4 linked regions of the Alligator mississippiensis genome follow. The protein of the gene in region 4 purifies or fractionates together with the protein of the main gene of each other region. This does not show direct contact. Links are inferred from orthologs where the notes say so. Each region holds a gene or a part of one and is shown on either strand. Other genes may lie near its edges.

Region 1 (6,827 bases), on a different chromosome or scaffold from region 4:
CTCTTCAGTTCTGTGTGCTATGTATGTTGCACTGACTAAAGAGTAGAGTTGAACTAGGAGTGGGACAAAATCTGTCTCAGTCACCCCAAAGAAATAATTCAGTGGATATGCTCTATTGGTTGCAGAATACTGCACAATTTAAAAAAGGCAACAATTTTGGGATAGTGTGAAGGAAGAATGACTGGCATTGGGAAGCTTGTCCAAAGCTCTCTCAACCAAGCAGTTGGGCCAATAAAAGATACCACCCCTTAGGAATGCTTGCTTCTTGCACAGTTCCTGGGCCATCACAACTGCAACTTCACAGTGATGTTAGCGTAAGAAGCAAGACGCTGACTCCAAATGGTGCGGCATGGTGAAGAGTCTTCACGTTTTTAGAGTGGGCACCCCCACACCCAACACAAACTGAAAGCCTTGAGAAGCAACTGTGCTGGATTACCCAGACGGTCAGCAGGCCTCCAGGCATTCTAGCAGGTAGCGCTGTAGATCACAGGTGGGCACAATGCACAATACCATCACCCTGTTAACCTGTCCCCATACAGAAGATAGTTTCCAATGTCAGAATGTCTGAAAGCATGTACCAAGTTAAACATCTCTTTTGTGCCCTGTTGCTTTTGTAGCAACGAGGAACAGTGAAACTACTTTTAAAACTCAGAAAAGGAGTGAGAAATACACAATTCAGCTTACATTGATTGATGATTATTCCAGGCAGTTTCCCATCCTAAAACACATCCTAAGGCCCATGGCATACAATATGCTTGAAATGTGACTGACCAGTTAATCACATCTCAAGTTGTTACCCACTTTAATGCAATTAATGGTGTGATGAAACAAGGAATAAACCACAAAGTTTCTACATAAAAAATGTAAAAACTGGTGGTGTGCCTCCACAGTGGGGTGCCCAGATCAACTGACAGCTCACAACCCCAGGAGTACATGATGCAACCCCGTGGCTGGGAGCTGGGATCAGCTGACAGCTCACAACCCAGTGCATGATGCGCTCCTATAGCTGGGAGCCCCATCAGCTGCTACCAGCACAGGAACTAGCTACTTGCCAGAGCAGGAGGAGCCTGAGATACCTGCTGCACCTGCAAAAAAGCATGAAAGGGTCTGATTCTGGATCCCACAATCATACCTGCCATGCCTGTGTGGCCAGAGCCCAAGAGTCAAATTCACTATCATCACACTTGGTGGGAAGCTGCCTGGGGCAGATGTGAACTGCAGGTTACCTATAAAAACCTTTTTAAAATGCTTATGGTTACAAACACAATTAAAATCAGGACACGCACATGCTACTGAACTACATGACTGGGCCAAGCATAGAAAATGAGGGTTGGAAGGGACCTCGGGATCATCTAGTCTAGTGTTTCTCAAGCCGTGGGTCACAAGAATATATGAAAGGCTTGCATACAAACTATGAAAATAGATCAACAAACTTTCATAGATTCTAGAGTTGGAAGGGACCCAATGGATCATTGTGTCCGGCCCCCTACCCCTGGCAGGAAAGAGGACCAAGGTCAGACAACCCCAGCCAGGTGATTGTCAAGCCTCCTCTTGAAGCCCTCCAAGTTAGGTGACAGCACCACCTCTCTTGGAAGCCCATTCCAGACTCCGGCCACCCTTATTGTAAAAAATGTCTTCCTAATGTCTAACCTAAATCTACTCTCCACTAGTTTGCACCCATTGGGGCGCTCTGGTAAACAGCGCATCCCCAATTCCCTGTCTTCCCCTGATAAATTTATAGGCAGCCACAAGGTCACCCCTCAGCTGTCTTTTGTATAGGCTGAAGAGATCCATCTCTCTCAACCTCTCCTCGTAGGGTCTTTCACAGAGACCATTAATCATGCGGGTGGCCCTCCTCTGAACCCTTTCCAGATCCTCCGTATCCTTCTTGAAGTGTGGTGCCCAAAACTGGACACAGTACTCCAACTGCAGCCTGACTAATGCTGCATAGAGGGGAAGCATAACCTCCCTCTATCTGTTGGTCATGCATCTGCTAATACACAACAAGGTGCGACTGGCTTTGTTGATGACCTCATTGCACTGCCAGCTTATGTTCATCTTATGTTCAACTATGACTCCAAGACCTCTATCAGCCTCTGAGCTGCTAAGGAGGACATCCCCCAACCTGTAGGTGTGCTGGGGATTCCTCCTTCCTAGGTGGAGTACCTTACATTTATCTTTGTTGAATTGCATCCTATTACGTTCAGCCCATTGAACTAAACTGTCCAGGTCAGCCTGTATCTGCTCCCTGCCCTCCGGTGTATTAACTTTACCACACAATTTGGTATCATCTGTGAACTCGGAAAGGGTGCTCAACACGCTCTCATCCAAATCACTGGTGAAGATATTAAATAATACTGGCCCAAGGACTGAACCCTGTGGGACCCCACTACCCACCTCCTTCCAGGTTTAAATGACCTGTCGACCACCACTCTTTGGGTGCAGTCCCTAAACCAGTTGGCCACCCATCTGACTGTGTAGGCATCCACTCCACAACCCGTTAGCTTCCCTATAAGAACAGGATGCGACACTGTGTCAAAGGCCTTCCTAAAGTCCAGGTAGATGACATCGGCCTCTGCTCCTGTGTCAAGGTAGCATGTGACCTGGTTATAAAAGGCTATAAGGTTCATCAGGCAGGATCTACCTGTGATGAACCCATGCTGGTTTCCTTTCAGCATTGTTTCTCCTGCTGGGCTTTCACAAATATGCTCTTTGATGATTTTTTCTAGTATTTTCCCCAAGGATAGAGGTAAGACTGACAGGCCTAAAGTTACCCAGCTCCTCCCTTCTCCCCTTCTTACAAATGGGCACCACGTTGGCCTTTTTCCAGTCCTCAGGGACCTGTCTGGAGCACTATGAGAGCTCAAAGAGCTGTGCCAGCAGCTCAGCAATGACACTGTTGGGGCTTGAACTTTAAACATGGATTCTCTTTTAAGGGAGAAAAATGTGGGAAACTGTGGCTTTTCCCTTGCAGACTGGCAGCGTTCCGGCCTGCCGCTCAGCGTTGGTCCTCCCATGCCCCACACACTGTGGGGCTGGGGGCAGTGGGTTGCAAGTGAGGGGCACTGGGCCGGGACTGGCCATCTATGAGTCCTGGTTCAAAAAAGGTTGAGAACCAGTGATAGTCCAAGCCTCTGCTCCAAGCAGGACATCCCCGGATTAGATCATCCCACCCAAGGCTTTGTCTAGCCAGGTCTTAGCAACCTCCAAGGATGGAGCTTCCACCAGCTCTCTGGGTAACCTGGTCCAGTGTTTTACTACCCTCCTCCTGAGAAAATTCTTCCTAATATGTAACCTAGACTTCCCTTGTTGCAACTGGAGACCATTGCTCCTTGTTCTGTCATCGCCCACCACTAAAAACAGTCCAGCTCCCTCCTCTTTGGAACCACCCTTCAGGTAGCTGAAGGCTGCTATTAAATCCCCCCTCAGTCTCCTCTTCTGCAGACTAAATGAGCCCGGCTCCCTCAGCCTCTCCTCAATACAAGGGAGCGCTCTCACACATCCCTGCCTCTCCCAAGCTGCCCCTACAGCCCCCGGCTGCCTGCTTCCCTGCCCTCTTTCCAGCCTCATGGAGCCACCCCGCATGTGCCCCGAGTGTCCTTCCAGAGGCAGAGCTCTCTCCCCAGCAGCCACCACGCAGGAGCCGCGGTGGGGGGTGGGGCGCAGGGCCTGAGCCGCCGGGCCCCGCGCTCCCCCTCCCACCCCACGCGAGGCGGCTCCGAGCAAAGACGTATATGCGCGGAACCTTGAGCCGACAGGAGACGCGCTTTTTCAACACGCAGAGCGCACGCGCCGTGCTCCCTCTTCTCCCTTTCCCCCCGCAGCGTCTGTGGGGCTCAGAACGAATGTACAGAGTGCATGCGTTATGTTCTCACTCCCTCTTTCCCCACCCGCAAGGCGTATGCATCCTCCCCCACCCCTCCCTTCTTCTCTCTTTCTCACTCCCTCCCCGTGTGCGAGGCGGAGCCGTTCTGTGCGCCGCTCGGAGGAGGCGTGTCCTGTGAGGGCCGCCGTAGGCTCGATGTGGCCCGCCCGGGGAAGGCCGTTCCACGTCAGCCGGAGCGGGCAGCGGGGCCGGGCCGGAGTCCCGCCGCGGGAGGTAGGTACCGCGCCGCAGGGACCGGGCCGGGCCGGGCCGGGCCACAGCGGCCGCCGCGTGGGGCGGCCGGGGCAGGGGTGATCTCGGCCGCCTGGGTCCCCTGGGGACTGTGGGGGCAAACGGGAGACAGCCGAGGTGTCCCGTCAGAGCCGCGGCCTGCAGGCACGCCCGACCCGCCGCGGCCTGCGGGGCTGCTTTGCAACGGGAACACCGCTGTGTTAATTTTCTGTCGGCAACAAAGAGCCGGGGAGCTCAAGGGGGCGAAAGAGTTTGGGAAACGCCGATGCAGGGTTTGAGCCACAGTGATTTGATTTTTTCCACAGATTGACCCCGGGGGTTGTACGTTTTCATAAACGTATTGTCACTTAGCAAGGGGCTGAATTGTAGAACAGTCGAGTATCTTCGGGTAGATGCGATATCTCTTGTTAGACCACCTGAATAGTTGGGAAAATGATTCTTGGCAACAGCTCATGAAAGGGGTGGAGAAAAGGGGTGTTTTTTGCTTTTTTGCTTTGTTTAAACTGGTATCAACACAAACTTTATAATGAGTTGTGTGTCCTGTGACGAAGGATGTTTATTTTGTGTCTTCCACCTGGTGGTGCAGCTCTGTAGTTCTGGGGGTAACATTTTTGGACGTGTGATATAGTTGTGTAGTGACAGGCATGTGTAAAATTAAAGAGTTCCCCATCTATGCAGGGGACTTGTTTTCAGTTTTGAAGCCAGGTAAAGGAAGAAGAATTGTTGCCCATTCACCGTTAACAGTAGAAACTGTAAGGAAATGGTTTTGTTAAATGGTAGGAGCGTAGTTCAAATAGTAGTGGTAACTCGGAAAGATGGTAACAAAGGATCTTATCAAAACTAGTGGAGGGTGCCCTAAGGCTTGCGTGACTCTCGGAGATTTAAGGATTGGAACCAGCAGCAAGACCGTTTTAAAGGCCACACAAATTATGAACGCTGCTTGCAGAACACATGAAGCTTCTCGTCAATGTGAGCACTGTACTTCCAGTTTCAAAAGTTGTAAAGTTTAAGGTGCATCCAGCAGAAATGTGGTATGTGGCACGCATCTGTGGCATCACACACCGCATGTTTAGGTATTCCCTGGACTCCTGCCTTGCAGTGTGGTGGGTTTTGTTTGACCCCAGGAGATCCTGGGGTCAAAAGAACCCACGCCAAAAAAAAGCAGGGTGGTACATGTGACAGCAGTGTGTGCCGCCCAAAACCTGATCAGCTGGAGCCACACGGGTTACTGGCCAAGCTCCCTGCTGCAGAAGTGCTGCGGTCGGAGATCCTTGATGACCCCAGGTAGGGCTGCTGGGGCCAGGATAGTTGCTGGCCCCAGCCTCTTCTACTTCATCTAGGATAACCTACTGCACACCAGAGCATGCATGGCATGGGCGTTCCTCAGGGACAAGTAGCCACAGCACAAGCTGTGCCACTGCTACTTGTCCTTGGGGAAACACACGTCTGGACACGGCCTAAGAGTTGAGCTCCTCGGGGCATGGGGTAATGCAGATGAATGACATATGCTTCTGTTGCAGATTTGGGAAGCTGTTCACACCTAATGCAGTTCAGAACCTTAAGTTCCAAGCGGAAGTAACCAAAGAAGGTCCCTTTTTCACATGTCTCTTCACCACCAAATAGTTGCATAGCAGGTTCTGATGGTTCTGTACATAGTTCTGAAAGTTAGTAGCAAATGGAGTCCAGGACCTCTTGGAGTAATGCTTGCTGCAGGTTAACTTTGGGATTGTTTTTAAAGGAGCATGGTTTGATGTGACTAGTTTCAAGCACTTATTAAAATCAACATCTTGGACATTTTATTTAAGTTAATACATGATAGGATTGGCCTAGTGGAGGGCCAGGCAGACTGCCTCCCTTGGAAAGAATGCCTTTGCTGGAGCAAACAACAGATAGTTTCAGCCTTCTCCTCTTACCATTTCCTTGCCTTCCCATGTAGAAATTGAAGATTATGAAACAGAAAACAGTATAAAGATTTTGTTCTTTGGGGAAGTGCATTAGTTCTTGCCATCTCTTAGGGAGTCTGGTCAAGAAAGGGCTTTGACTGGGAGCATACTCTGGTTCAGAGTCTTTCACATCTCACTCTTGGTGAGGGAAGCCATTTACTGCTTCCTCTCCAATTCTGTGTCCCAGGTGTGATCTGTTAAGGGAGTGCTTTTTGGTGCCCTGTATAACTTGGAAACACTGTGCCCAGGATTACTAGGTTCTGTGGACCTTTGCCTGTAAAAATGGTGGGAGGAAACTAGTTGAAATCCAAGATAAGTTAATAAAACTTAAGATATATCTACTCTGGTCTCTTCTTGTACATCTCCATATTAGAGATGAAGAAGTTAGATGCAGAAACTTAAAGCATGGTCTATGGTGGTGACTTGGGATGGAGGGTTCATACAACTGGCGAGGTGACTGAATTGTCATTTCTGAAAATGTGAAAGCAGTTGGCCTTTTTTGGTGACCTGTTATTGGACCAATGGGAGAAATGTTAGAGAAGCTATTGGGCCCGAAGTGCCCTTTCACAGGTCATTCTGTGACCAACTACAATGTATACCATTGGTCCAATAAACGAGATCACCAAAACACCTGTTGCTTCCATATTTCCTGTGTCATCGTGGCTACAATAGCACTCCAACCTACTATTACTAAAAATGGTCATAAGTAAATTGCAATTTTTTAAAGATGACATGAGTGTTTAAAACTTTTTTTTTAAGTGTAACTT
Region 2 (7,899 bases), on a different chromosome or scaffold from region 4:
TCTTCTCTATATATCATAACCAGCTAACATTGAAGCCGGCTGCTGGCTAATTTTTAGCTACTACAGGCCGTTAACAAGACTCTGGTCCATTTCACAACCCTTTACAGTAGGGGGGGGTGAAGAAAGAATCATTTCATGGAGAATATACTTACAGACAGTGAACGACAACCATGGAAGTTATTCAGTAAATCAGTGATTCTCAACCAAGGTTGCTCAGCACCTTCCCAAGATCCTTTCAAGGGTGTCACAACATAATGTTAGCACTATTAGGCATGCAAACAATTTACAAGATAAACCCACAGATTTCCAATAGGAATCCAAAGTCTTAACTATTCTGACCTGTTGCAGTCAGTTCTTTGCAACAGAAAAATGGCTATTTTTCCATAGCCAAAAAAAAATAAAAAAAATGAATGAAAGTGAGCTGACATTTTCCAAAGAGTATCTGAAGTACAAAATGTAGAGAATCACTATCATATTAGCCATGCTGTTAAAAATATTTAAACTACTTAGGAAGCATAACTATTGATAAAGTCCCCCGTGGTCTGTGTACCATTAACAAGCCTTACAAAGCCCTGCCTGTCTGCTTGCACATCAGAAGGATTTACCTGAACTTAATTCCTCCTCTCATATTATTCCCTTTCCAAGGGTTAACTGCATAAATCTTACTGCACCAACTTTCAGCTAAATATCTGTACAATTTATTTGTACAATATTTTGCCACAATATCTAGGCTACTTTCTTTCCTCCTTGTGTTGGCCTCTTAGACTTGCCTTCTTAGTTGCTAAATAAGCTAAGCTATCCCAATGCTGGAAGAAATATACTGACCATTATGGGTCTCTGAGGTCAGCACTGAAGGGTGAGGCATTTGCTGTCTGCCAAATAGTTACATAACTACTGTCTTAGAAGAACAATAATGAAACTCCTTCCTTACAATGAAAGGCAGCTTTTTTCAGCCTATACAGGGGAAAGTCCAGCCTGATCAGATGGAAACAATTCAGACAGTAGAAAAAGCAACCCTTTCATAGATTTCATAGACATTAGAGCTGAAATGGACCTCGGAAGATCGAGTCCAGCCCCCCGCCCCAGTGGCAGGAAGTCAGCTGGGGTCATAGGATCCCAGCAAGATAAGCATCCAAATTTCTCTTGAAGGCGTTCAATGCAGGTGCTTGAACCACCTCCGGTGGCAGGCTATTCCAGACCTTGGGGGCTCTGATAGCGAAGAAATTCTTCCTTATGTCCAGCCTGAAACAGTCTTGCAGGAGTTTATAACCGTTCGACCTGGTCATCCCTTGGGGCGCTCTGGTGAATAATCATTCCCCCAGATCCTGGTGAACACCCTGATACACTTACAGGTGGCCATCAGATCACCCCTAAGCCTATGCTAAGGAGCCCCATAGCTCTCAGCCTCTTGTCATAAGGTCTGTTTTCCTGACCTCTGATCATGAGCGTGGGCTCTCCTCTGGACTCTCTCAAGCTTCTCCACATCCTTTTTGAATTGTGGAGCCCAAAACTGGATGCGGTACTCCAGCTGTGGCCTCACCAAGGCCAAGTACAACGGGAGAATGACGTCCTGGGATTTGCCTGAGAAGCATCTATGGATGCAAGCCAGCATTTTGCTCGCTTTACTATACTAGCCGCAGTATCACATTGAAGGCTCATATTCATCTTGTGGTCAATCATGACCCCCAAGTCCCTTTCATCCATAGTGCTAACCAGCGTAGCATCTTAAAGGTGAGATTTTGGACAGGCTGTGGGTGGCCTTGAAAGTACCCCAACTCAGAGTCAGAGAGGACTAGGGCTGGAAGGGACCTCCAGGGGTCATGTAGTCCAACCCCCTGCCTGGGGCAGGATCATCCCTATTCAAACTGTCCCATAAAACCATAATCTAAACTCTACCTAAGACTACTGTCAATCCTAACCCAACACAATAAAAGGTTTGGAGGCTGGGGGACATGACTTCTGAGGAGAGGCTAAGGGAACTGGGCTTATTTTAGTCTGGAGAAGACAAGACTGAGGGGGGATTTGGTAGCAGCCTTTAATTACCTAAAGTGGGGGTTGAAAGAGGATGGAGCTGGACTGTTCTCAGTGGGGAAAGATGACAGAGCAAGGAGCAACGGTCTCATGTTGCAGCAAGAGACGTTTACATTAGGTATTAGGCAGAATGTCTCATGAAGATGGTGGCGAAGCAATGGAACAGGTTACCCAGCGAGGTGGCGCACTCTCCACCCTTGGAGGTGTTTAAGACTCAGCTAAACAAAGCTTTAGCTGGGAGGATCTAGTTGCGGCTGGTTGATCCTGCTCTGAGCAGGGCCTGGACTAGATGTGACCTCCTGAGACCCTTTCCAACCCTCATCCTCTATGACTCGGACACAACCCCAGCCCCCTCACCTGCCACAAGTCAAGCAGGGAAACCCGGCAGCCCACCTCCTGCTTCTAGAAAGGCTGCGGGCACATGCTGAGGAGACCACGGGTGCAGGCCCCACACCCGCTACAGAGCAAACAGCCCCCAGCCTGGGCCAGTCTGACCATGAGGTAAAAATCCCTCCCTGACCCCAAATCCGGGAGTTGGCCTGGCCCCGAGCGCAGGGGCCAGACCCTCGAGCCAGGAGCCTCCGGCTTTGGTCCCAGCAGGAGGATCAGCGCAGCCCAGGGAGAGCCCGGCCCTGGCCGCAGCCACCCCCTCGGCTCCGGGGAGGCGCGCGGACCTCGACACACGTCGCAGGAAAGAGGGGGAAGGGGCGGGGCGGACACGGGGCCTCTCGCCCCGGGGCTGTCGCCGCCCCGCCCCGCCCCGGGCACCCACCGCTCGACATCGCCCACCCGCAGCGGGCGCGAGGGGAGGGAACCGCCCGGCCCGGCACTCACAGCTTCAGACTCCCGTAGGCCGCCGCCGCTGCCATGGCACCCCCCGCCACCGCCGGCCCCGCTTGCCGCGTCCCGGCCTCAACAACAAGCGCCCGCGCGAGACAAATCTAGCCGGACAACCGCGGAAGGAGATAGGGGCAATGGCGGCGGGGGGTGGGCCCTGAAGGTCTAGCACCGCTGCCATTGGCTGGGCCCGTGGCTGTAGCCCGCCCACCCGGCCGCGAGCGCATCAGCAGAGGGCCGCACGACCGGCTCGCGCGCGGGGGGCGGTGCCCGCTCCAGCTTTGTGGCTCCGCCTACGCAGGGGCTGGGAGTGGGCGGGGACACCTCGGCGGCGCGGGTTGCGATTGGCGGTCTCTCCCGGCGTGTTCCCGCCCACGAAGCCACCCCTTGCCGCAGGCACTGGGCGGGCGGGGCGTAGGTTGAAGAGAGCGCGCGGCAAAGCTGTGCTTAGGGCGGGCCAGTGGCGCAATGGATAACGCGTCTGACTACGGATCAGAAGATTCTAGGTTCGACTCCTGGCTGGCTCGAGCTCCTCTTTTCTCCCCGGCTGCCAAACGGGCTCTGTTGCTCTCAGGCGGCCCTTCATGCGCATACGGGTCTTCCCCCCCTCTTTTATTTTCCCCATGAAATGCATCCATCCCATCAGGGCTTCCTTGTGCCGTGCCCCACTGCCCACAGCACACCTACGTGCCCTTCATGCTTGCTCTGGCCCACTGTGCCCCTTGGCCCCATCCTGCCCACGTCACCATGCCCCCACACCTGGGCCAGGCTCCATGCCACCCCAGCCCTGCCTCCCTCCACACCAGTCCAGTGACCCCTGCTCTTGCCCACCACAGTAGCACCCCCGCTGCTCTTGCTCCTGCCTGTCCTAAAATGATAACCCCAATCCCCAGGCAGGCGCAACCTGGCACCGGCCTCCCTGCACCGTGCCCCATGCTGCAAATGCGGCTCCTCTGGTGGTGCTGTAATTTCTGCGCGTCATGGCTAAACTGCGTCATTAAGACCCCATCGTGGCCTATGTGGCTGGTGGGACCTGGTGTCTGCCCTACACCATGATCTCCCTCTATGGGCAGCAAGAGCGACTGGTGCCTCGTGAGTTGGGGTGGCACTTGCCCCCCAGCAGCCAGTCAGCAATCGGGGGGCCCCCCTCAGCCAATCGCACCAACCAAGGGAAGATTCCCCCTGTGGCTGATCATGCTGACCTGGAAGTGCCAGGGGTGCTTCTCCTGGCACCCCCACTCCCTGGCTGGTGCTCTCGAGGGGGGGGCACCAGCATGATCACCTGTTGCCCGTCACCCAAGCGCACCAGTGCTCTCAGGGGGTGCACATGCACCCCCATCCTCCCCCTATGTGTCGCCGCTGGTGGGCAGTTATATCTGCCCCACTGGATGGGACATTGTGGCGTCATGAGGTGACACTGCCCTGTTTGGCTGTTGAACCATTCTTTCCCCTCTCATTTCCCTCTTAGCAGAGATGCCACCCCTAGTTTGTGTGGGACAAAGTGGATCCCCAGCCCATGTTCCTTTGGGGTGTGCTTCAGCTCCTCCAACGGGCTCCTGTAGGCCTCACGGGTCGGGAAAGGGGTAGGGAGGAGCAGCTGGCAGATCCCTGGCATGTCCCCATCTCGCTGTGCTGCCCAACCCCATCGATTTGGCTTCTCCCACCCCAACCCTGTTTTTTGAGATAGAACAGGGAAGGCAGCCTCCAGGGGGCCCAGATCCTTCTGGCTGACTTTCCTTCATTTGTCAGAGTGGAAAGGCACACAGGCACTTAATTGGGACCCTGGCATGTAACTGCTTTTCACAACAACACAAGGGTACCAAGGCCCCTGATCCAGGGTGTTATCTGCTCCGAGGAAGGATTCTCTACTGTGACCAAGAACATCTTTGCACTAACAACCAAGTGCATTAGGCGATGTTTTCAGGCTTGACTGAGGCTTCAGGCACTGACCATTACAGCAGCCTGGATCCCAGACTAGATGAACCTGTTTTCTGAACTGGAATTGCAACTCTTGTATTTTCAGCTAGTTTTGCATCTTTACAAGGACTTTGGGTGGAGGCGGGGAGCAGGAAATTAAGGGGCAGCATTTAAAAATATTTGAATTGGCTGAGGAAATGGAACTTGAACATTTAATAACAGATGATACTGACCTTCAGAGTGGCTTTAACTTGACCTGCTTTATTTTAATTGTCAGTTCTTCCTAGGCTGCATGTAATTGTTTGTTGGGAAGACTCTACAATAATGAATTCCAATTCGGGCAACAGGTTCATCTAGTCTGAACTAGCTGTCTAGTCTCAGGCCAATTTTTGTTTTGAGGGAAGATAACGTTTTCCCCATTTTTGCAGGTGGGGAAATTGGGACACCGACTGGTTGATGGTCTGGTTTACTGGTATCAATCCCTTTGAAAAAAAATCAGGGTATGGATAGGATGCCCAGCATCACAAAGGAAATGCACAGCAGAACTGGGACTAACTTGTGCCACAATTGCTTTACTATCTGCCAATTTAAACTAGACAATAGGCCTACTTTAGTTACATTAAAAATACGTTGACATGTAACCAGTAACCTGCCTAGTTGTTCAACATAATGTCTGAAGTTTGCCTGTCCTGAAAGGATTTAAGGGTAGGCCAGGGTATTAGAGAGGGGTAGTATTATTGTGGCCTATAGTGGTTCCCAAGCTGCTGCCTCAGTACCAGAAATCCTCACTAATTTTCAGTCTACACTCACAGTAATAAGACTTCCTGTTATTGACTCCTAATCCAGCCGGAGGAGAAACTTGTGGGGAAGGAGAATGTGATTGCAGAGCCATTGATCATCATCTTTGAAAACTCACGGTGAGCAGGAGAGGTCCCACATGATTGGAAAAGGGCATGCTGCCCCTGTTTAAGAAAGGGAAAAAGGAGGATTCAGGAGACTACAGACCAGTCAGCCACATCTCAGTCCCTGGAAAAACCATGGAGCAGATCCTCAAGGAATCCATTTCTAAGCATTGGAGGAGAAGGTGATTAGGAAGTCAGCATAGACTCACCAAGGGCAAGTCATGCCTGATCAACACGACTGTCTTCTATGAGATTACTGGCTCTGTGGATGTGGGGAGATCGGGGAATGTTATTATATACCTTGATTTTTTAGCAAGGCTTTTGATACAGTCTCCCACAACATTCTTGCAGGTAAGCTAAGGAAGTATGGGATGGATGAATGGACTGTAAGGTGGATAGAAAACTGGCTGGCTCATGGGGTTCAGAGGGTAGTAATCAATGTCTAGTTGGCAGCTGGTAGCAAATGGAGTGTCCCGGGGGTTGGTTTTGGGGCTGGCTTTGTTTAATATGTTCGTCAATGACCTGGAAGATGGCATAGAGTGCACTCTCAGTAAGTTTACGGATGACACCGAGCTGGGGGGAGTAGATACTCAGGGGTAAGACTAGGATTCAGAGAGACCGTGACAAATTGGAAGATTAGACCAGAAGACCTCTCATGAGGTTCAATAAGAAGTGCAAAGTCCTCCACTTAGGATGGAACAATCCCATGCGCTGACAGGCTGAGGGCTGACTGGCTGGGCAGCAGCTCTGCAGAAAAGGACCTGGGGGTTACAGTGGACAATAAGCTAAATATGAGCCAAAAGTGCACACTTGTTGCCAAGATGGCTAACCGCATACTGGACTGCATTGGTAGGCGTGCTACCAGCAGTTCAAGGTGTGCGGGCCGGGCCCCAAGCCCTCCCTCGTCACCATGCGCGGCGGTGATTCCGATCCCATTCTGGCCGCCATGGGCAAGCTGGGGGCGAACCGGGGTTGTACCGAACCCGTCTCCGGTGCACGCGGGCTGTGGCCGTCAGCCCGGACACACGGGGTGGGAGAAACCGCGGGACGGTCTTGTGCACGCGAGTTAGAATTAGTCACGGAGGCGTAACGGTTGATTGAAAAGATTGTTTACTTACACCCGAAGATGGTATTGGTGTAGGCTGGATAAGTTTCCAGGCACAGCTCCCACTTGAACCCTCGTTGGAGGACTCTGACAAAATTATTGCTCCCACGGAGTTTGCTAGGCTCCGTGGGTCCGGTTAAGTTGGGTTCGATAAGTTTCCCCAGAGTTATTCAGGCTCCGCGGGTCCGATACGTTTTCCCCAGAGTTTGCTAGGCTCCGCGGGGTCCGAAATTATAGGAAAGGGATACATCCAGGGATTGCGCTCGGTGACGGGGAGAAGTGAGAAGCGAAAGCTCCGTAGGCTCGGTTCTATTGCTTCTCTTGCCTGCTTAGGGGAGGTGCATTGGGTCCGCGAGGGTCCACAGCGCTTGGAGATCTTCACACAGAATCTCTCTCTCTTCCTCCCTCCTCCCGCTTGGGTGGAAAGCACACAAGCCTTTTGTACGGCTAGCAAGCCAATCGCTAGCCGCCACGTGTGCCTAAATTAGGAGTCGGCCAATAACATGGCGTAGACCCTAATACAAATGGCGGGAACTTCTTTACAGCGTGCATCACTACGATGCAAAAGAGATGCACACTGCAAAGAAGCTGTAATTTGGCGGGAAATCCCCCGTTGCACCAGAGCTCTCTAGCAGCAGAGAGCTCTACCGTGCAAAGAAAGCGACAAATTTGGCAGGAAATAATTTAGCGGTGCCGAAGCACGCACACAAACAAAAAAAAAATCACAACTTTGGGTTGTGACACAAGGGAAGTGATTATTCCTCTTTATTCAGTACTGGTGAGCCCACAACTGGAGTCCAGCTGAGGGCAATGAAAATGGTGTGGGGGCTGGGGGGCATGATTTATGAAGAAAAACCAAGGGAACTGGGCTTATTTAGTCTAGAGAACATAAGGCTGAGAGGTGATTTAATAGCAGCCTTCAACTCCCTGAATGGTGGTTCCACAGAGGATGGAGCTAGACTGTTCTCAGCGGTGGCAGATGATGGAACAAGGAGCGGTGGTCTCAAGTTGCAGCAAAGAAGGTTTACATTACATATTAGGAAGAATTTTCTCACTAGGAGGGTAGTACCCAGACAGGTGGTGGAAGCTCCATCCTGAGAGGTTTTC
Region 3 (7,753 bases), on a different chromosome or scaffold from region 4:
ACTGCCGAATCCCACCTCAGCATCTGGCTGAGCGAGTCGAAGAGGCAGGTCAGTACAGCCATGAGCATCAGCTGTGGGCACAAGACACATGGGTCACATGGCAGCACTGTCTGGACACCCCCCTCTCTCCCATCTGACTGCGGGCTCGCCCCCCCACAACGCCCCAGCCTGCCCAGAAACCACCCCCAGGCCAGGCCAAGTTGGGCCCCGCACTCAGCCCCCACACCCAGACCCGGCCCGTGTTGCCCCCCCAGCCCTGATGCCCTCCTCTGTCCAACGCCCAATACCAGGGCAGCACCAGGACCGACCCCCCTCCATGTCCCCCACATAGTTGCCCCTGTACTATGCCCACCCCAGGCCCCACCCCTGCCTGGCCCAGCTCCGCCCCCAGGCCCCGCCCCCTGCCCTCACCTCGTTTTCGTGGGAGCTGCCAATGACATAGAAGTAGAGGTCTATGCTGCTCTTGTAGACCACGGTGAGGCCCTCGAGCAGCGCAATCTCGCCTGGGGGGGTTGGTAAAACGGGGTCAGATGCCGCTTGTAGACACCCTGCACTGGGCCTGGGGGGTGGGGCCCAGGCCAGGGGCCCCGGTCACCCCCAACCCCCTCTGCTGCCAGGCACCAGGCTTGGCAGTGCCCTCCAGTGCCCCAATCCCACCCTTGAGGCAGTGCCCCCCCACCAGGCCGTACTGTCCGTCCGGTGGGTCTTGTTGAAGATGTTCTTCTCAAAGGCCTTCTGCTCCTTGACGCTGGGGTAGGTGTCATCGTAGTACTGGGGAAGAGGGGGCACCGGCGTCAGCCTGGCACTGCACCCACCCAGCACAGCCCGGCCCCCTGGAGCACCCCGCACCTGCCCTTGGGCCGGAGCCCAGGGGCCGGGAGCACCCGCTATTGCTGGGGCTGCCGCGGAGGCCGTGGGCACTTAACTTCCCTCCGCCAAGTGGGCACAGCAGCCTCTGCTCTGCAAAGGAGCCAGGTCCTAGGTGCAGCCCGTGTCCCTCCCCGGCACAGGCGCCCCTAGCCTCCACCACCCTTGGGCACCATCCCTCAGTCCCTGGCACAGCCGCCCCATGCTCACCTTGGCAAAGAGCCGGTCGCCGTCGTTGTCCAGGATGAGGATGGCCTTCACCGTGTACAACGACGGGTCCTGTGGGGACATGGCACCATCAGTGCCAGCCCTGCCCCCACCCAGCGGGTGCCCCCCATCTCCTTGGGGCTGCCCAGGCAGGTCCAGGCCCCGGCACTAGGCTCGGGGGGGCTCATACCAGCCACGTCACGCTGGGGAGAGACAGAGGGCACCGATGCCACCAGGGCAGCTCTCACCCACCTGTCCCACGTGCCCCCCCCCTTATGAGCCGAGAGGCAACCAAGCCCGGGCTCCACCCACCACCAAGCCCTTGGGGTAGGTGCCCCATGCTGCCAGCCCCCTTCCCCAATGGAGCTTGGCACAACACCTGATGCCTGGGAGGTGCCAGTGGGTGCTGCCCCCAGCCCAGCCCACTGCCCCCCTGCAAAGCCTGATGGGATGCCTGGCTGGCCCCAGCACGGATAGGGACCCATGGGGATTTGTCCCCCCCACCATGCTGGTGGCTTTCACAGACCCCACCCCTGCACCAGCTGTCAGAGGGTGACACGAGGCAAGTGCCAGTGGGTCCATGCCAAGCCCTGCACTGGGCAGTGTCACCCCCTGCCCACCCCCTCCCAGTCCCCTTTAATATCAACCCCCCCTTGCACGCATTGCTCAGGTCTCCAGGCAAAACACACACACGGGGGGGGGGTGTACTGAAGTGCTGGCCCCTGGGGCAGGGTGGGCCGGGGGTGACTACCAGTGGGCGCCGGGGCTGGGCCAGGGGTCCCGGGGGCACCGACGGATCCGGGCGCTCGAGACAAAGTTCTGTGATGCACTGACCCCAGGTAGCACAGTCCGAGTGTATGACAGAACTCCGCCTCAAAGGCCACCAGCCGCCCCCGGGGCAGCCCCCCGGCCCCCACCCTGCTCGGACCCCCAGCCCTACCCCCGACAGCCCGTCCGTCTGCAGCCGGGCACCGGGAGCAGGCCGCCCGCTCTGCAGCACACAGCGCCCCGTGCAGCACCAGGCGCCGGCAGGACCCCAGAGCAGCCGGCGGGGCTTGCTCCGGGCCATTCGGGTTGCAGGGGGAGGGAGACGGGGCCCAGGAGCAGCTGCAGCCGTCAGCAGTGCGGCAGGGCACGAGGTGTCAGTAGGATTCAGAGTGAACGGCAACCTGCCCTCCCTCCCGCCCCCCCTGGCCCAGCCTTTGCTACGCTGGGCACTGACATAGGGGTGGGGGGTATGCCCATGGGCCTCGCCCGGCACCAGGGTCCCACTAAGTGTATCCTAAAGGTAGGGCCCAGCCCCCACCTCGTCTCCAATGGTAGGACCCAGACCCCCCATGGTAGGGCCCAGCTCCCCCCCCCATCCCCCAATGGTAGGGCCCAGCCCCCCTGCCCCTTCAATGGTAGGGCTTAGAGCCCCCCATCCACCAATGGTAGGGCCCAGCCCTACTCCTGGCTCCTAATGGTAGGGCCCAGCACTACCCCCCCCATAGGACCCAGATCCCTCTACCCCACAATGGTAGGGCCCAGCTCCCCCCATCCCCCAATGGTAGAGCCTAGACCCCCCCATCCCCTAATAGTAGAGCCCAGACCCCCCTGCCTCCCAATGGTAGGGCCCAGCTACCCCTCCCTGCTCCCCAATGGTAGCCCACCCCATGTCCCATAATGGTAGGGCCCAATCCTCCCCTCCTTGGCCCCTAATTGTAGGGCCCAAGCCCCGCTTTCCCCCACGGCAAGGCCCACTGCCCCCCTCCCTGCCCCCAGTGGTAAGGTCCTGCAGGCCCACCCCGGCCCCAATGGTACGGCCCGCCCCCCCCGCGGCGGTGGTAGGGCCCGGCCGAGCCCGCTCCTACCAGCACCAACGCCTCCATCTTGCGCTCCCCGCTGCCGACGTGGAGCCGGAGCACAGGCCGCAAGCCATTGGCTGCTCGCCTGCCAATCCCGGCTCTACGCCCCGCCCCCGTCCGCACGCTCCCCGTTCACTGGCTACCCCACTTCCTCCTTCTAGCCAACCGGGAGCTGCGCTTCAATGAATGGGCGGACCCCACCCCTCCACCCCAACGAGGATTGGGCGACACCACTGTCGCTCGTGGGCCTCGCTCCTCCCCGCGAGGGGCGGGACAGTTCCTATGACGACTGGGGAAGCGATGACATAATCTTCTTTGCAAGACCTGGGCTGGGATTGGCGGAGGACTCGCGTCACGTGACCGGAAGTGCGGCTGGCCTGGAGTAGGGCTGTGGGCTGTAGCCGGGTCCATTGGGGTTGTGACCCGGGGGTCGGCTGGAGTTGGCCTATGACCTTTGACCTCCGAGTCACGACCCCAGCGTGGGGTGCAGTTGACTGGTGGCCCTTTCTGGGGTCATGATCCTGGGGTGGGATGTTGACCTATGACCCTTGACCTCTGGACTCAGCACTTCTCAGGACTTGGGATCCGGGGGGACCTGCCTCTGGCATAGACGTGTCCCCTGCTGCCCCCGCCCTGCTGGGGCCAGGGAAGGACCCAGGACCTAGGTGTCCCAACCCCGTGCACACGCCATGCACACGCGTGTCCTGTCCCGGGTACTCATGTTCCCCCCAAACCAGCACCTGTGGCTTGTGGAGGGGCCGGGCTGCCCGCTTTCCTCCCCTGGCACGTGCACGCCTGTGCATGGGCATGCACGTGCAACATGTACACTCATGCCAGACTCAGACATGCGTGCCCGCTCACACGCCTGCCAACCCGCTGCCCCCCCATGTTATGGGCAGATCAGCTCCTGCTGCTGGCAAAGAGGTGGGGGCTGCCTGCATGCAAACACAGGCATCCATGAGCGCTGCCATACGCATGCACACAGGTGCCCTCCCACACGCTTGGTTATACACCCGCAGAGACACGCGTGGGCACAGGGGGGCATGCACACAGGCCTGCACCCTCCCCCACCCTCCGGGCAGCCCAGCCCTCCGACTTGTGGGTCAGGCAGGCGGGTCTGGCCACACTGTCCAGAGCCCCCCAGCCCCTGCCCGGAGCCCGCCCCAGCGCCTGCCAGCAGATGCCCGTGGGCAGACCCACATTCCTGGAAAGAGGAAGTTGCTGCACCAGGCCGAGGTGGGGGCAGGATGGGGGCAGGGCGGCGGGGGAGGAGGGGCTTCCAGGGGCGAGTCCTCTGCATTGCACAATGCGGGGGGGGGGGGGGGGGAGGGATGTCCCATTGCACAACCCTGGCCCCGTCCTGGGCTGAGCCATAGTCAAGGGGGCAGGATGGGGGGTAGATGGGCAACAGCCCCCCTGTGACCCCACTCCCCTGGGCAGAGCTGCCATCTGCTGCCTGCTGCCAGGCATCTGGAGGCACTTGGAGCCCCCCCACCTGGCACTAGCACATGTGCACACGCGCGTGTGTGACTCCCCGGACCCTGTGGGGGTGGGCGCGAGCCAGGGGGGAAACTCGGAGTCTGGGGGGGGCAGCTGGGACCAGTGGGTAGAGCAGGGACTTGGTGGAGGACACCTGGGTCCTATCCCAGTGGGGCTGGCTTCTTTCCCCAGCTCAGGGCAGGGAGTGGGGTTGAGTGGGTTAGGAGCGGGGGGGCCCGGACGCCTGGGTTCCTCGGCAGGGAAGTGCTGGGGCCGGGGGAAGCGGCCGAGGCCCCGCCGGTTGCAGAGGAAGCTGCTGGGCGGATCCGCTGCGTGGTGCTGATAAGCGGGCGGCCCCCGCCTGCCCAGCCCCTCCTTCCCCCCCGTAACAGCCTGGCTCCGGGACAGTGGGCTCTGCTCTCAGCCTAGCTGCCCTCCGCGCACCGTGCCCTGGTGAGCAGCTCTGCCAGGATCGGTGCCTCCCAGGCCTGGGAACGCAGCCACCTCTGAGGTGGGCAGGTGGCTGCTTCGCCACACACAACACCAGGGGCGCTCGCAATGCCGGGGGCCCAGCTCAGCCCCTGCCTCCAGCCCTGCCAGGGCCCAGCATGGCCAGGCGGGCGGGGGGGCGCTGGGTGCTGGTTATAAATGGTCCATCTGGCACCAGACGCCGGAGGTGGGAGGGAAACCGCAGTAACGGCCGAGGGGCAAGGGGCGGGGGGGCGACCAGCTGGAGCCTGGCCCAGGAGCCCCGGGGGCACAAGAGAGCCCGTGCCCACGCGTGTCGCCTGCCACATGCGTGGCCTGCGCATGCAATACGTATGTGCTCTCAGTGCCAGCATAAGTCAGAGCACGGGGCTGGGTCTTGTTGCAGCTCAGTGTGGTCCCGTAGCCAGAGCTGCGGACATGTGGCCACGTGCCACTAGTGTGTTTTGTGCCCCCCTGCAGTTGACTGGCACAGATTTACCCCCGGTTTGCCCGGCGGGAGACAGGCGGAGCGTGGGACACGCACATGCTAAGTGTGTGGTGTGTGTTGCAGACGAGTGCGGCCCTGACGTGCCCACGTACGTTCTGAGCTGCACTCCCGTGTCGCGTGTGCTGTGGGTGCACGAGGAGCCAGTAACCTGGGAGTGGCATGTTACAGGTGTGTGCGGCCCTGGCGTTCCTGGTGTGCTCCAGGCCAGGTTCCCCATGTGTGATGTGTCATAGGCATGTGCCCACCCTGCTTCCAGCTTGTGTTCCTGGCACAACTCGGGGCTGGGCCTGTACCTTTAAGGCCCATAAAGGGGCTTTTGTTGCTGCTGGCAGGAGTGGGGAAAGGGCCGTGGCGTGGCCCCACCTGCCCCAGGTCTCCTCCTGGCCAGCTTCGGGGTCCCTTCTTCAAAGCCAGGACGCCTGGCTTCCACCCCAGCTCTGCAGTGTGCTGGGCATGCAAGTGCCCATGCTCATGAGCACCAAGAGGCCCAGAATCTGGGCCAGGGGGTGGCTGGAGGGGCAGTGCCAAGCCATGACCCTGCCAGCCTCCACCCTTCCCCCCTCCATGGAGAAACTGAGGCACGGAGCAGGCTGGGCCAGGACTGGGCCACCACCGTCCTCGACTCCTGGGTTCTGCATTCAGCTCTGAAAGGCGAGCAGGGTGTCCTGGGTAGGGCTGGGAGCCGGGGTGCCTGGGTTTTCTTTCTTGGTCCCCTGCCGTGACCTGGGCCTGGCCTGTCCCCTCTCCATGCCTCAGTTTCCCTGCTCGTTGGCTGGCTCCCACAGTGGGGGTGGGGCCAATTTGGGATCCTCCCATAAACGGCGCAGTCTCCAGTGCCTGCCTTATACCCCCCCACCCCCAGATGCTGCCCCCGGGGCGCACACAAGCAGCCTGTTCAGTGTACACATGTGCACACACACACGTGTGATCTGGGGAGTCCCTGGGGGGCAATGGGCGGGGGGGAGACACACTTAGCTTTGTGCTACAGTTGGCCCAGGAGTCTCGGAGCCAGCTTGGTGCCATGTGTGTGCATGTTTGCACGTGTGTGTGCACACATGTCACTGCTTTAGTGTCTGTGGATCGCTGCGTGGAGCCCTGTCTGTGTGCGTGTGTGTGTTGCACATTGGTGCAGCGCTTCTGCGGATGTCCCCTTGTCACACACACGTCCCCATATTGTCGGGGGCTCCTTGTGTGAGTCTGTGTTGTGCCGTCACACATGCCTTCCAGAGCAGGCGTGCGTGGCTATGCACCAGGCGTGCGTGCACATCCACGTACGTTGTGTGTTGGGCCTGACCCCCCTGGGCTCAGAGCATGTCAGTAAGCACACGCATGTGTGTGAGTACATGTGAAGGAGATACCTCAGTGTGCATTGCATGTGTTGTTCCGTGTGCACGTGGCCCCGTGCGTCATGTTGCAGTGTCCCCGTGTGCGTGTTGCTGTGTGCCTATGCACACGTGTGTGGCCCCATGTGTGGTGTGCGCATGTCTGTGGGGGTCTGACCGAGTGCAGCGCACATTGCTGTTCATGGGTGCACGCAGGGCACTGTGTGCTCCGTGTGTGTGTGCACAGGGGAAGTGTCGTGCGTGTGTCGCCCATCATGTGTCATGTGCATGGGCATGCGTGTCCCTCAGGCTCACGTTTCCCTGCTGTGAGGCCTCCACCGTAGGGCCGGGAGGGTGGAGGGGGGTGGCTGCCGGTGCCTGTGTGGCCACAAGCAGGGGAGGCGTCGGGCTGCGGCCCCGGCTTATGTAACCGCCGCCCGCCTGGGGCCGGCACAGAGCCACAGCTGCCACGGCCACGGCCCTGCCGCCTGCGCCATGGGGGTGCCCTGAGCCCCCAGGCTTCGTGCCCACGTCCCCGGGACCCCAGCAGGTAAGACCTGTGGCTTCTCAATGGGGACTTTGTTCTGCCCGATGCTGTGGCAGGTGTGGGAACCTGAGAGCCGTGGGCTGGGTGGCGGGGCGCAGGGGCTGCTCCAGGCCCCCCACCTCCAGTTGTGGCCCCAGATCAACCCCCCGGGCACCTGGGTCCATTCCCTGCCCCCCTCCCCTCAGCTCCCGGGGTGCAGAGAGGTCTGGCTGGGGCTCTCCAGGCATGTCTGGGGGACACCGGGTGCTGGGAACCCAGGAGTCCAGGGCAGGGGTGGGGGCGTGGGGCAGCAGGTGCGTGTGTGCCAGGGGGAGGGGGTGCTGGTCACAGGTCTTGCACACCACCGACTCTGGGGGTATCAGGGGTTGGCTCTTGCTGGAGGGGAGGGGGGTTGTGGCAGGCAGAGTTTGCACACACACACACACACACACACACACACACTTGTTTATAGGCACAATACGTGTGCATGCTCATGCACATGCATGCACACGCATGCACACGCACCCAG
Region 4 (7,346 bases):
GGGGAGAAGAGAATAAGGGTTAGGGAATACGTCACTGACTTGCCAAAACAAGCCAGAAACAATGACCTCAGCAGAAAGACTCCATGGGATTCTTTAAATTAAGCGTTTTAAAATGATTTGGACTAAGTAAACCAACAGTGAGGAAAGAGGAGTGTTTTTCCTGCCCCCAGCACTCAAAAATAAACCAAGGGAGTTTTACTAAACAGGACCAACAATATAGCAAAGCTGAACAGTTCTAGTTCAAATTAGTAAGCTTTCAGCAATATACCCGAAGTGCCTGAAATCAGCTATTGAAAAGTAGCGACAGACATGCAGATAGTCTTCTTCTAATACCAATTAAATTGAGCTGTGCACTTTTAAAATCTCAGTTCAGCAAGCAGAAGTTAGAAGGACAGACAGATAACTAATTGCATCAACCAGCAGGAACTGCCGAAACAAGAATTGCTCGAGTCTGCTGTTATGACTTGAAGTTTGAGAGTATTTTAGTGTGCATTGCCACCGAAAACACAAGTGGATACCTGGCTGTGGATTGTTAAAAGTGCGCATCAATCTTTTGTTAATATGCTAAGGAATACATTGTTCAACACACCAACAAACTTCAATACTTGTTTTTATCCTGCATAAATCAGTTTCAGGGCAACGATATTCTGATCTGCTGAATTTGGAGCATTAGAAAAAGAGCATCAACACAGGCCATGACCCTACGTAATTTCAAACAAGGCTACATGCCATAAAAGGATTGCACCCAGCCATATTTCATTACAGGACCAGAGCCACATACAGCAGTGACCAGGGCTATGCTCCCATTATTGAAATTAGTTCTTCCCCTAGAAACCAGATGGCTGCAACAGTGCCTGACTTACCTCTGACTCTCACTTGAAAGATATTCTGCAAACATTTTCACTGCCTGGAGTTCAGGGCAAGCATTGGCTCTGATTTCATCTAGCACAACACCGTATTTTCTCTGTTGAGATGAAAGGGAAAGAGTCTGTAAAATGTTATGCGGGACACAGGTGTTGAAGATATGGCCCATGGGCCTCAGGCTGAACCAGTGTGCCAGGGTGCATGCTCCACATGATGCCCATGTCAGACCGTTATTGCACAGGCACTGCATGCAGTGGGCACCCCGTGCCAGCCCCACATGCCGCATGCAGTGTGAACCCCATGCTGGGGCTGACATGTGCTGCATACAGTGTGCAGGGGGCCAATCTAGTCCACAAACTGGCCCCACATAGAGCTAGCGCACGGGTCCAGTCCAGTGTGGGCACCTCACAGAGCGCATGCTTCATGCCCGGGCCCCAGACCAGGGCTGGCGCATGCTGCGCACAGGGCCGATCCAGGGCATGCAGTGCACACCAGACTGGCTCTGGTGTGTGGGGCCAGGCTAGCCCACACTCGTTATCCAGCCTATGGGGCCAGATGAGTTTGACACCCCTGATTTAGAACAAAGGAAAAGACATGGTTGACTACAACACAATATGGGTTAATCTGTGTCTCGTGTTCTGACTTGCTCAGATGCTAAGGCAGGCTAGGGAGGTAGAGCAAAGACAGGATCACCACCACTGCACAAGTTGCTATTAACCAGTATGTTCCCGAGTGCAACCTGACACGATTAAGCAATGAATTTTACAAAACACTCTTCCCTACTCAGGCTTTTCCTGTGCCCCCAATATTTCAATCACCTAGAACAGGCTGGTCGTCGTTCCCATCCCCCCGTCATTCCTACACACTTAGGCTCAGACTGAGACACTTGAGTCACAAGAAGCCCTGCAATGTCTCACCTATCGCTCTTCACAGAAAACATGATTTATTTATGTGTTTTACCGCGTGTACTGGACAGATCTTTCCTGCAGCCATGAATTATACAGCATGTACTATCCAGCGCCATCCATCATTAACTAAAAACATTGACTTTTTCTTTTACACAGGACTGGTTTTGACACCTTCAGGTGCCTGCACCGCTGCGGCTCTTTGCCTGACTTCGAGCGTCGCTGCCCCAGCGCAGACCGAGCCCGATTAGGTTCCCCGGTACTTCCAGAAAAGGGTCTCTAATAAGAATGCAAAATGCTGATTTTATGCTAACCGTTGACGCGAACCACGTAACAAAAGGTCAGCTGCACCTTGGAGCTAAACCCCGGCAAGCGCAGGCGGGGGCCGCACGTGGGGAGAAGCACAGCGAGGGCAGGCGAACGGGGGGATCGCTGTCCTACAACGCCGGCTCTTCGGGACCTCCTTCTCCCATCTCCGACGCGCGCGCAGCCGCAACGGCCGTCGTCCGTTTCGACGACCGGGCCGGACAGGTGCGACGGAGACGACTCGGAGCTGCCGCGGGGATCCAGGCCAGGGGCCTGCGGCGCTGGGTCTGTCTCAGGCTGCGTATTTGGGCTCCCGAGGACGGCAACGACCCCCCCGCGGGGGAGCGACGCCCCCCAGTGCCCTCCGCACTCGGCAGGCAAAACCAGACGCCCCCAACTCCAACCGGAGCGACCCCCCGCTCGCGCGTGAAGCGAGGTGCAGGCCCGGCGAGGTCGGATTGAGCCCCCCCCACCCCCCGGCACAGGAATTGCGACCCCCCCCGCTCACCTGGGCGATGTAGGCGCGGTAGAGGAAGACGTCCCGCTCCACCTCGCGCTCCGGACTGGACAGCTGGGGGCGACAGGAGCGACAATCACCTCAGTGCCGGGGCGGGGGGGGCCCTAAAGTGCCATGGGGGGGGGTGCAGACCCCCATGGTGGTGGGGGGCTGTGTGGGGGGAGGGGCCACTTCACAGGCTCAGCCCCTCCCCCCTGGGGCTGTGTGGGGGCAGGGAGGGGCGCCTGACAGGACTGAGCCCCTCCCCGCTGGGGCTGGGGGGGGAGGGGGGCACCTTGACGCGCTGCGCCTCGTTGATGGCGGCCTGGAAGGCGCCGATGTAGAAGCTGTTCTTGACGTCGAAGAGCTCGTCCGCGTCCCCCGCCGAGCCCCCCCCGGCCGCCGCCGCCGCTCCCGCCGCCATGACACCGGCCTGACACGTCTCCGGAAGCGGCCGCCCAGCCGCCGCCGCGCGCGCGGGGGACGCCGGGAGCCGTAGTCTTCCCCCCTCACAGGGAACGAGCCAATGGCAGCGCGCAGTGCCACTTCCTGAGCGCCGGAAGTGGGGCGGGGAGGGTGGTGACGTCCGCGGCGTGCGCCGGAAGCGGGCGGTGGTTGTGCGCGGGCATGGCCGCGTTCGGCGCGCTGGGGCTGGCGGCCTGGCTGGCGGAGCAGGCGCGGCGCGTGGGCATGGTGCGCCCCAGCGCCGTGCAGGCCGCCTGCATCCCGCCCGCCCTGCAGGGTGAGTGCTCCCGGGGGCGGCTGCGCGGGGGGAGCGGTCCCTGGACGGGTCCTGGCTTCACGTGTCCCCTCGCGCAGGTCGCGACTGCATGGGCTGCGCCAAGACGGGCAGCGGCAAGACGGCGGCCTTCGTCCTGCCCGTCCTGCAGAAGCTCTCGGAGGACCCCTACGGCATCTTCTGCCTGGTGCTGACGCCCACCAGGTAGGGGCGCTCGGTGGCAGGGCTCGGAGTGGTTTGGGGCTGGATGCTGCCCCCTTGCCCCAAACCGCCCCATCCTCCCTGCTCCGGCGGGAGGAGCAAGGGAGCGGGCGGACGCTTGCATCCGTTGATGTCTCGGGGGCGTGTCGCGCTCAGCGGTGCTCGATCAGACTCAGGGCTCACACGAGTCCAGCGTCCTCCCTCCCCAAACCGGTTTGTTTTTGGCGTTACGGGATAACCGAGCATCCCGTTTCGCTTTGAACGTTGCCGAGTGTTGGGCCTCGTCGACGTTGCGCGGCGATAAATTACTTTATGAACAAAGGGGGGGGGGGGATGGGAATCTATTGTGTCTTAGCTTCCCGGTTCCGGCCGTGGTTTCCCTGCGACCCCGTCCTTGGAGGTCCTGGGTGCGGGTAAGGAAGACGGGCCCCGTAACCTTTCCGTGCTTTCCCTCGTCCTCTCTCGTAGGGAGCTGGCCTACCAGATTGCCGAGCAGTTCCGCGTTCTGGGAAAGCCGCTTGGATTGAAGGACTGCATCGTTGTCGGAGGAATGGGTAGGTGCGGGCTGGCTACGAGCCGGACTCGGTTAGCCCGTTAGGCAGAACTGAGCCTCTGCCTGGTTCGCTTCCGGGCCGTTTAAGGAACCGCGAGCTGAAACCATACAGCGACTTGGGGGAATCTGTGCTTGTCCAGAAGCTGTGGCATTCTCCATGTTGGTAAAACCACACGTTCAGCACCAAAACGTGGCATCTCTTGGTTTTCCAGGCCCGGTTTCTGGCTATCCCTTTTCAACAACCACAGCAAGAAGGGAGAACTAATCCAGATTAGGATCTGGATGCTGGTTTGCTTCGTCACTGAAACAACAGTCTGAACAAAACAGTTTGTTTGTGTGATTTATTGTTGACTGAAAATATTTCTTTACACACAAGCCAAGTTCAGCGCACGGCTGCTCATGTCTCATTGAGGGGACCCACCGTCGCGCTAGAAACGAAGGAAACGCTTTAAACGTAAACGCTTCCTTGCTGTGTTTCAGACATGGTGGCCCAGGCGCTGGAGCTCTCCCGCAAGCCTCATGTTGTCATTGCAACACCCGGCCGGCTGGCCGATCACCTCCGCAGCTCCAACACCTTCAGCCTCAAGAAGATCAAGTTCTTGGTAAGGCGGTGGTTCAGCTCCTTTCCTGCTTGCAAGAACTTCTCCCGCTTGACCTGCTGTGCCTGGGCACGTTACCCTAGGTCAGAACTGGCTGTCCTGGCTCCCAGACCTGTGCTCAGCTCAGATCCTCCTGCCCCGCAGTGCTGCTCTTCGCAGCTGGGCTTGACCCTTGTTTGCCTTGGCTAAGGTTTTGGACGAAGCTGACCGGCTGCTGGAGCAGGGCTGTACTGACTTCACCAAGGACCTCGAGGTGATTCTGGGAGCAGTCCCAGCAAACAGGCAGACGCTGCTCTTCAGTGCCACGCTGACCGAGACACTTAATGAGCTGAAGAGTCTTGCCATGAACAAACCCTTCTTCTGGGAATCTCCGGCAGAGTAAGTCTCTGCTGCTTTGCTTCTTGTTCAGTTTACACATGCTTCCCCCTCCTGTGATGTTGCCCCTTCTTTTCACCCTGCCATTCCAGCCCCAAATTCGACCCATTGTGGCATCTCGAAATAACGCCCGTGGGGCCTTTTCTCCCCACCCCCAAAACAGAGTGCGAACAGTAGACGAGCTGGATCAGCGCTATCTGCTTGTGCCAGAGAGAGTCAAGGACGCGTACCTGGTCCATTTGATCCAGACGTTCCAGGACGAGCACGAGGACTGGTCCATTATGATCTTCACCAGTACCTGCAAGTGAGTCCAGCGCCTCTCACCGTGCACCAGTTCATGTTATGGCTGCTAGGGCTCATCCCCCAGCCTCCTTCTTGTTATCAGCAAAGCCAGAAAAAGCATTCACTTTTCTAGCCCAAGTTGAATTTAAGGCAAGTCCTTCCCTACCTCCTGAGAAGGCCCCTGCAGGGCAGGCCTTGCAGTACCTAAAAATATAACCCTATGGAGGGGCCTAGCCTAATTGCTTCCAGGGCCCTGCCTTTGTCCTGGCCAGCAGGGGATGGGAAAGCAGCACTTCCTCCTCTTCCCTGGGAAGGAAACGGCAAGGGATTTAATGTGTGACATGAAGTTAATCCCAATTTCCATCCTTCCATATCCACGTGTCTCGGTGGACTGGAAAAGCCTGTAGTGCTCTTCCAAAAGCTGACCTTTCCCAAGGGCCCTGGCCAGCATTCGCTGACCCCCAAGAACAGCCAGTGTCCACGGGAGGAGAGTTCATGCTAACCGTGGAGCAGGCATCCTGCCTGCTCGCCCAGCCAAGGTGCTGCTGGTCAAGCACTGCTTTGGTGCTTGGAGAACAAGAGGATCGGGACACTACCTGGTTGTGCCCTGGTTCACCCACTCCCACGAGGGCTGTGAATATAATGGGGAAATACTTCCTCCTTCAGGGATTGTCAGATCTTGAACATGATGCTGAAGAAGTTCAACTTCCCGTCGGTGGCTTTGCATTCCATGATGAAGCAGGTGAGTGACTTGGTGGGGGTGAGCTGTGGGGAGCGCTGGGACTGCTGTTGTCCTTCATCGTGATGGGTGCTAGGCCTGCTGAATTGCTGACTGGGGGCTTCGGCTTTTCCTCACTCATCTATTGAGCCAAAGGATTTGGGAGCTCTTTGGCTTTTGACTCCTGGTCCCTTCCCTTCTTGGTTCTCATGGGAGGGGCCAAGCCAAGCAGAAGGCATACAGACCTGAGCTAGCCTCAGAAGCCCATCTCTGCTGAGGTGCCTCAGCCATCACCTGCCCTCTGCTAGCCTAGCTCCAGACATGCCAATGTGGGCTTGTAGCCAGGTGCTATTTTTCATGAGGCCGGAGAGAGCTACCCACAGCCCCTGAGGCTACAGCACTCCTAACCTGGATCCTTTTCCCTTTGCAGAAGCAGCGCTTTGCAGCCTTAGCCAGGTTCAAGTCCAGTGTTTTTAAGATCCTCATCGCCACAGACGTGGCTGCCAGGTAAGAGGAGGTGAAACTTCTCCTTGATGCTGAAAGTCTTGAGTGAGTTTCCACTCAAGGCAGCTGGTCCACTGTAGAGAGTAGGGGCAGGGTTGGCAAGTGGACAGTTTTTTGGGGTCCTGCCTCTCCCTTCCTTGTCCAGTGCAGAACTCCCCATTGTAGCACAGTCCAGGTTCAGGGCATGTTGTGGAGCTCTTCATGTAGCTGGGGCAGCTGGATCCTTCACTCAGCTCCTGCTGTGGAGTACTCAAGCCTGCCAGTTTGCTGGGAGGCAGATTGGCTTGTGGCAGGGGCTGGTTTGCTTTCTGGACCTGAGGAGCATAATGGGTGCCAGGCAGGTTGCAGGGGGCAGGCTGTGCCATTTTGTGGTTGCTGGAGGCGTGTGGGAAGCGGTGGGTAAGTGCCCAGAATCGGTTTGCTTCCTAACCGCAGGCCTGTGAGTGCCTCAGAGTCTCCAAGGGCTCTCAGTGAAAGCTGAGAACAGGAAATGGGAGTGTTTGTGTTGAACTGCTGCCACACCACCCCTGTGCTTGTGCTCCAGGGGGCTGGATATTCCCACTGTGCAAGTCGTCATCAACCACAACACCCCAGGCCTGCCCAAGATCTACATCCACCGTGTGGGCCGTACAGCCCGAGCAGGTGAGCGAGGGAAGCTCGCAAGAGGCTCACAGGCAGTGGCAGCTCTGCACAGAAACTAGGTCGGGTGTACAGAAGAACCGTTCCCCGGTTGGGTTTATGGAGGCTCCCTCGTGGCTGCGGGGCAATCTTTTTGGTGCCAGATCAGCTTCCGGCCTCCTGCCG

What was found.
Region 1: the proteins of COPE (region 4) and COPB1 purify together in Homo sapiens (affinity purification with mass spectrometry; 6 studies listed by BioGRID and IntAct, with this or other methods). This does not show direct contact. The link is inferred for Alligator mississippiensis from reciprocal best matches to the Homo sapiens genes COPE and COPB1.
Region 2: the proteins of COPE (region 4) and SACM1L purify together in Homo sapiens (affinity purification with mass spectrometry; 4 studies listed by BioGRID and IntAct, with this or other methods). This does not show direct contact. The link is inferred for Alligator mississippiensis from reciprocal best matches to the Homo sapiens genes COPE and SACM1L.
Region 3: the proteins of COPE (region 4) and COPZ1 purify together in Homo sapiens (affinity purification with mass spectrometry; 3 studies listed by BioGRID and IntAct, with this or other methods). This does not show direct contact. The link is inferred for Alligator mississippiensis from reciprocal best matches to the Homo sapiens genes COPE and COPZ1.

What each region holds. Positions count from the first base shown.
Region 1 is NC_081825.1:195,520,849-195,527,675, forward strand, and holds the start of COPB1 (coatomer subunit beta), read left to right. Parts: upstream 1-3,823; 5' UTR 3,824-4,099; intron 4,100-6,827. UniProt on the Homo sapiens protein: The coatomer is a cytosolic protein complex that binds to dilysine motifs and reversibly associates with Golgi non-clathrin-coated vesicles, which further mediate biosynthetic protein transport from the ER, via the Golgi up to the trans Golgi network.
Region 2 is NC_081828.1:137,171,861-137,179,759, reverse strand, and holds the start of SACM1L (phosphatidylinositol-3-phosphatase SAC1), read right to left. Parts: upstream 3,002-7,899; 5' UTR 2,901-3,001; coding exon 2,866-2,900; intron 1-2,865.
Region 3 is NC_081838.1:7,959,345-7,967,097, forward strand, and holds the start of COPZ1 (coatomer subunit zeta-1), read right to left. Parts: upstream 3,014-7,753; 5' UTR 2,946-3,013; coding exon 2,928-2,945; intron 1,147-2,927; coding exon 1,078-1,146; intron 772-1,077; coding exon 690-771; intron 504-689; coding exon 412-503; intron 72-411; coding exon 16-71; intron 1-15. UniProt on the Homo sapiens protein: The coatomer is a cytosolic protein complex that binds to dilysine motifs and reversibly associates with Golgi non-clathrin-coated vesicles, which further mediate biosynthetic protein transport from the ER, via the Golgi up to the trans Golgi network.
Region 4 is NC_081839.1:1,337,382-1,344,727, forward strand, and holds the start of COPE (coatomer subunit epsilon), read right to left. Parts: upstream 3,011-7,346; 5' UTR 2,996-3,010; coding exon 2,867-2,995; intron 2,647-2,866; coding exon 2,584-2,646; intron 965-2,583; coding exon 864-964; intron 1-863. Other genes in the region: probable ATP-dependent RNA helicase DDX49, read left to right, coding at 3,199-3,313, 3,391-3,514, 3,980-4,065, 4,545-4,666, 4,854-5,041, 5,202-5,342, 5,987-6,062, 6,469-6,545 and 1 more. UniProt on the Homo sapiens protein: The coatomer is a cytosolic protein complex that binds to dilysine motifs and reversibly associates with Golgi non-clathrin-coated vesicles, which further mediate biosynthetic protein transport from the ER, via the Golgi up to the trans Golgi network.